2 linked regions of the Arabidopsis thaliana genome follow. The protein of the gene in region 1 interacts with the protein of each later gene in a pairwise test. Each region holds a gene or a part of one and is shown in the gene's direction. Other genes may lie near its edges.

The links. Proteins that work in one complex are often made in the same cells at the same time.
Region 2: the proteins of AT5G38620 (region 1) and AGL52 interact in a two-hybrid assay, tested with the Arabidopsis thaliana proteins (one large-scale study listed by BioGRID).

What each region holds. Positions count from the first base shown.
Region 1 is NC_003076.8:15,463,292-15,466,999, reverse strand, and holds AT5G38620 (MADS-box transcription factor family protein), read left to right. Parts: upstream 1-2,092; coding exon 2,093-3,142; downstream 3,143-3,708. Other genes in the region: CYB-1 (cytochrome B561-1), read right to left, coding at 1-81, 438-486, 713-859.
Region 2 is NC_003075.7:6,847,603-6,851,175, forward strand, and holds AGL52 (AGAMOUS-like 52), read left to right. Parts: upstream 1-1,975; coding exon 1,976-2,965; downstream 2,966-3,573. Other genes in the region: TOPP7 (Calcineurin-like metallo-phosphoesterase superfamily protein), read left to right, coding at 381-940, 1,117-1,329, 1,413-1,430.

The sequences.
Region 1 (3,708 bases):
TAAATGCTGTGAGTTGTAGTGTAAGATGAACCAGTTTTTTCAAGTTCTTTGTACCTTGAACTGACTTATATGCTAACATAGCTGCATAAGTTGAAGGTACCGTTCATGTTAGAAACGAAAACATGTCCATGGTCTCTTTACCGAATTAACAATGCCGTAACTAAAAACAAAAAAAACTAATCCTATGAGTCCTAAACCTCTTGACATAAAATTTCAATGTACTCAAATGTTAAAAAGGGCAATTCAACAGTTCAGTCTCTTTGACAAATGAAGTATGCGGAAATCGAACATGAAAACCGATACAACGAATACTAAAACCTCTTGACATTAGAATAGTCGCCAGACGGTAATATACTACAAATTTGAAGTCTAAAATATGAAGTTAAGACGGTAATATACTACAAACTCTTAACATGTGAAGGAGATTGTTTGCTTACCTTCTCCATTGAAGAGTATGAGTCCAATCACCATCATCACTGGATGAACCTAAAAACAAAGACATTTGACATCATCAGATATATATCTACCAATGATGACATTATACATCCAAATATGAGTCTCAGATCATAGCTTGTGATCACACAGAAAAGTAAAATCCAAATTTCAATATCTCAACAACACAATCAAGAAATATGAATCTCAGATACAGCAACAAGAACATTTCATCCAATCCATTTCACATGTGAGTCAAAACAACAATCGAGAGAATTACATTAAAGATGTGATCTTTGTTATCAGAAGAAAGAGCTAAGCCTCCTCTGTAATGAACAGTCCATGTCAAAACCAAAGCCGCGATGATGAAACCCAAAACTCTCACTACCATGAAGATCGGAAATCCACCCAGCACCGGAACCGCCATACTAAGCCCAGAAAATGCGAGTCTTTTATACGGCGATCAAAATCAGGATGAATTAGGGCTAGGGTTTTAGTTTTTAGTCGAATTTTGGGGATTTCTGAATCACCCCCTGTGTTTTAGATCGGCAATTACTCGACTTTGAGTTTGAGGTCAACCAGAGTGATTTGCCAGAAATATTATTTTTATAAGATTTTTTAATTATTATTAGTAATTTGATTTAAGGGTAAAAAAATGGAGCTTTGTGTCACTCACAAAACTGATTAGAGTAAAGATCTTTTGTTTATGTCTACTTTGCCTATTTTTATTTTTATTTTGAGAGAATTACAATGACACACACCCATAGATTTTTATTTCAGAGGCAAAACAGTATTGATTAATATTGAATAGTAAAAAAGATGAAATTCTCCAAAAGTATCTCTTTGTTATGAAAAATAAAGAAAGTGTGGCAAAGTGTAAGTCTTCCGGTCGTTAACAATGTTTTCTTCTGCTACCATGTAAGCTTTGTTAACTTCATAATCACATTTTAAGAGTGATACTACATTGTTGATCTTGTGATTAGAAAGAATAAACACGATAATGTGAAGAACCAACTATATATTTGTTTGTGTCTCTCATAATAATCTGACAATTTTTTTTTTGTAGAATCTAAGAAAATAATTATAAAACAAAATAACTAAAAATATCGCTAAATAAATATGAATGATAAGAAAATAACTAAAAATTATCAAAATAAAAATAAATAAATTATCTAACGTTCTAATTAAATACTACACTAATAAATAAATACTAAATTTGTTTATAAAATTAATAGTAATATAAATAATTTGGAGGCAAAATTTAGTTATTTTATAAATTTTGTTTTTAAACTATTAAAAAGAGTCTTAGGTAATTCTTTTTTTGTTTTTTTTTGTTTTTGTGTGGCGAAGGTCCATAGAGCATAGTTGAAATTATATATCTATTCTTGTCCATCTTTGAATAATTTATCATCAATAATGTTATGCTTGTACATAAGCAAATAAGAAAGGATGAAAAAAAAAAAAAAAAGGGGATTCTGGTGGATGGTTAGGCTTAGCCCATATTACGGTCCATGTGGTTTAATCGGTTAAGGAGGATGATATGGGGTTTCGATATTTCCTTTTTCATATGAGATTCGATAGTCCCTTATATATATGAGACTGAGAGATAGAAGAAGCCTTCACTTCAATTATCTGAAAATTGAGAAAAAAATCAATCAGAATGGTGAAAGGCACGAAGAGAAAGATTGCGATTGAGACGATACAGAAGAGAGATTCCCTTAGGGTTACCTGCACCAAACGCCGTAAAGGTCTCTATAGCAAAGCCTCTCAGCTTTGTCTTCTCTCCGACGCACAAATCGCTATCTTAGCGACTCCTCCTTCTTCTGAATCCGACGTCTCTTTCTACTCTTTCGGTCACTCCTCTGTTGATGCCGTTGTCTCTGCTTTTCTCTCCGGAAAACGTCCTGTTTCGGCTCCGAAGGATAACAAAGAGACGAGGGAGGACGTTGGTATCTGTTTGACTCGCAAGAATCTAGGGTTAGGGTTTTGGTGGAATGACGAGAGCCTTGTGAGATCGGAGAATCCTCAAGAGATTAGTGAAGCGATCGGTTCCATGTGGACTCTGTTGAGTAATCTCAAGGAGTTGCGTGCGGATGAAGCTTGCGTTAACGATCACAAGGACTTGAAGAAGAATGAGAAGAGCGATGTTCACGGAACTCAAGATCAAACCCTAATTTTTCAGTCCGCTTCTGCAGTTTGTTGCATCCCTGAAAATCTCAACGATATTACTCAAGAGCCAAATCAAACCCTAGATATTCAGTCCAGTAGTTCTGCAATCTGTTGCGTCCCTGATAAATCACCTGAAATTTTCAATGAAATCACTGAAGAACAAGATCAGATTCTCTCGATTTGTGAAACTTTTTGTGTTACGGATAATAACAACAACAACAACAACAACGCTGCTTTACCTGAAGTTAACCTATATTACAATCAAGACATGGCTATTGATCAACTCATTGACTTCAACACCCCTTTTGAAAGCTCGATAGATGATTGGTTTTCGGACAACACTACTCATCAGGAGACGACTAGTGCAAGTATTTTGAACGATGTTGGTGTTGATGATCAAGTCTCGGTGGATACAAATCCGTTTTCTTATTTTCAAAGCCTTGAAGATGCAGATTTGGTGTTTCAGAGATGTTTGGATGGAGATAATCTACGATTCTCTGATTGTTTCAATGACTTTGCAAACACTATTGCAGCAGTTTGAAGATAATCTCTCTGCAGTTTTCAAATCAACTTCTCTTTGTTATCTGTATGTATTGATTCTATTAGAGATTTATTTGTTCTAGCAATGTAATGAATGATCTGGTTTGACCTCGATCAGTTTTCCATATATGTATGAGGGAAATTGATCGAACTCAAACTGGTTCTCTGCTTCATCAGTTTGGTTTAATGATAATATTTGTGTTCTGTTTCTATGTTTTGTATTTGTAGTTTTAAGTCCAACAAACTCATGTCTTTTTATAAATCTTAATCGGATAAAAAAAAAGGAAATGTCTTTAATTTATGGCAAAATTGGTAGCTAACCAATGAGTATGATAAGAGAATCAGGTGAAATTTCGATTATATACATAGAGTTAACCAACTGGTATGCAATTGTATCATTTACACATTCTACAAAGAAATTGCCACTGAATAAACTTCAGGTTCCTCTGTTTCATTCTTAAAGTCTCAGAGTGGGGACCAAGATCAACATGATACAAAGTGATCAAAGCTAGATTATGTTCATTCATGCATGTCCTGCATACATTATGTTCATTCATGCATGTCCTG
Region 2 (3,573 bases), on another chromosome or scaffold:
TGATGTAAGGGTTTAGCTTTGTAAGTTTGTTGTTTGGGAAGCTTAAAGCTTAGATTTTTGGGATATAAGTGTACATTGAAATGGTTGAAGATGTGTATGTTGTGAATTAGTTAAATGCTCTGCCACTTTAAGTTAGTGTTTCTTGCGGAATTGTGAGTAGTGACCTCTTACTTTTGTGTCTTTGAGGAACCATGGTCCCTTAGCTCTGTTGCATAAGCAGTTGTTGGTATCTCGCTTGACTTATTACTTCATTTGATAGCTAATAGTTTTGTTTAGTTGCTGAATTTGGTGTATGATAGATATTAAACCCTTCTGTTGCTATCATAACTGTATGATTTGTAATTTTGTTGATGGTTTTAAGTTTATATGTTGATGAGCAGGAGATGTTCATGGTCAGTTTCCAGACCTCTTGCGGTTGTTTGAGTATGGTGGTTATCCACCAGCTGCGAACTACTTGTTTCTTGGGGATTATGTTGATCGTGGTAAGCAGAGCATAGAGACGATATGCCTTCTTCTTGCCTATAAGGTCAAATACAAGTTCAACTTCTTTCTTCTCAGAGGCAATCACGAATGTGCTTCAATCAACCGTGTATATGGATTCTACGATGAATGCAAAAGAAGATATAATGTTCGCTTATGGAAAACATTCACCGAGTGCTTCAACTGTCTGCCTGTTTCTGCTCTCATTGATGATAAGATCCTCTGCATGCATGGTGGACTATCGCCTGATATTAAGAGCTTAGATGACATCAGGAGAATTCCTCGTCCTATTGACGTTCCTGATCAGGGCATTCTTTGTGATTTGTTGTGGGCTGATCCTGACAGAGAGATTCAAGGCTGGGGGGAGAATGACAGAGGTGTCTCTTATACATTTGGGGCTGACAAAGTAGCTGAGTTCCTTCAAACTCATGACCTTGATCTTATATGCCGAGCTCATCAGGTAAAGCTAAAATTTATTCCTTGAGTTCTCTCTTTTGATTTCTCTGGATTGGTTTGTTCTTCTCTGTGACTGTTCTCTGAATTCAGAGGGTTAAGAAATCATAACTCAGTTGTTAATGCAAGGATCTGTAGTTTTTTCACCAAGCCAAGTTTTACTTAACTATACTGTTCCTGCAGGTTGTAGAAGATGGATACGAGTTCTTTGCAAAGAGACAACTAGTGACAATATTCTCTGCACCCAATTACTGTGGCGAGTTTGACAATGCTGGTGCATTGATGAGTGTTGATGATAGCTTAACATGTTCATTCCAAATCCTTAAGGCATCTGAGAAGAAAGGAAGATTTGGATTCAACAACAATGTTCCTAGACCAGGAACCCCACCTCATAAGGTGTGAAAATACTATCCCCCTGTATATAGATGCAATGTAGGTAGATGTTAGATATCAGGTTTGATATGTTAACATTCTTGCAGGGTGGAAAAGGTCGTTAACTCGTCGTCGATGGGTTCAAGAAACGAGTGAAACCGACGGGTTCGAATTTTGTAAGGCAAACAGTTTGTTTTGTTAGATTGTTATCTGTTTTCTTATGGTTGAGGCAACATTATGTTTTGTTTAGATTTTTTTTGTAAAAATTGTGGAAGATGTTCACAGCATTTTCAACTGAAGAAAGTTGGGTTTTATACAACTAACCTTTTAGAAACATATTCTAAAAACATAAACGTAAAATTTATAAAAATAATAAAATGAAACTTGAAAAACAATTATCTTATTTGACGTAATATATACTATAAGCTAAATAATAAGAGAAGAGGTAACCTAGATTTGAGGATAGATACTGCTTTTATCTTCTTCACGCGTCGCCGACGCGTATGCTTGTTCCCGTAGGCACCAAGGCAATCTATATAAACATATTGAGTGAAGTTTCACAATCTTTCACCATCAATTCCACAATTCTGCTTCTTCTTTGTGTGTTATCTCTCTGTCGGAGAAAAAAAAAACCCTAGTTTCTTGCTTGGCGAATCAAGGCAAAATCACGATGAAGCAAGCTTCTTCTTCTTCGTCATGTAATCCAACAAGTTTAACAAACAGACTTAAAACAATCTTTAAGAAAGCAGAAGAGCTTTCGATTCTCTGTGCTATTGACGTTTGCGTCATCTATTACGGACCAGACGGTGATCTGAGAACATGGCCTAAGGATAGAGAGACAGTGAAAAATATGGCTTTGAGGTATAAAGAGGACAGAAAACGCAAGAAGTGCCTCAATCTTCATGAGTTCCTCGAGAAAGAGAAGGTGAAGGACAAAGACAAGTATAAGGGGAAGACGAATTATGTGAAGAACCCTAATTGGTATCCAAACTTTGATCATTACTCTCCTCAACAACTCTCTCAATTGATTCAGTCCTTAGAACGAACACTTTCTACTCTCCAAAAAAGGCTTCGTATTGTTGAGTCGCAGAAAAAACAGAACACAAACTTGGTGCATCAGAGTTTAACACCATCGTATCTGAACCAGACACAACACTTGGATCCTAGCAAGTTCTCGCTGTATATGTACAACCATGGAGATGCTACTCTCTCACAACTCCCACTGTCTGCTTCACAATCCAATCAACTCATCAATTACCAGATGCAGCATGGTTTTGGTCAGAACATGTGTTTGGACAACATCACCAACAACAACAACTTTCAACATCCTGGCGTGTCAAACACACAAGACTACTCACCGTTACTTTCGGCGAATAACTACGGGTTGAATAATCACTTGATGCAGCAACAGGATCAGCTTCATGGTTTTGATCAGAACTTGTGTATGATGAGTGAAATCATCAATAACAACAACGGTTTACAACATCCTAATCTCTCAAACACTGTTCCACATGAATTCCCTTATGGTAACACTAGCTTCTCTCAAGATATGTTTTCGAGCTATGATGGGAGCAGTTTGCTACAGACATCTTCTCTGCCACCTCTCCACAACATTCCTAACAGCTATTGTTTTTCTGACAACTCAAGACTTCTCTGCTAACAAATCTGTCCAAAAGGATTTGTTTTTTGAAGCTTCATTAAGAGTCAGTCAATACTTATAAGTAGGAAGCTGATCAGAGAGAGATTGAAGCTGTTTTTGCTTCTGAATTCTTCCTGCTACTGTCTTTTTTTATTTTACAGTGTTGTTATAACTGTAAAACAGATCCATTTGTGGAGATTTTGTTTTTACTTTTAAGTTGGTATTTCAGTTAGTATTATATATATATATATATATATATATATGAACTTCCATAAAAGTCTTTCACAAAAACTTGCATGAAACAAATTATAATCTAAAATCACTTATGGTGACAAGACTGTTTCAATTGGTTGATACAACCTGCAAAGTGAAATCCTTTACTCTTGCATCTTATAACAAACTTGTAACTTAGTATCCTTCTTGTCTGAATCAGCTAATATATACATGAAGATGGAAAGTAGCTCTGATTTCGTGAAGACAAATTCTCTGCACCCAATTACTGTGGCGAGTTTGACAATGCTGGTGCATTGATGAGTGTTGATGATAGCTTAACATGTTCATTTCAAATCCTTAAGGCATTTGAGAAGAAAGAAAGATTTGGATTCAACAACAGTGTTCCTAGACCAGGA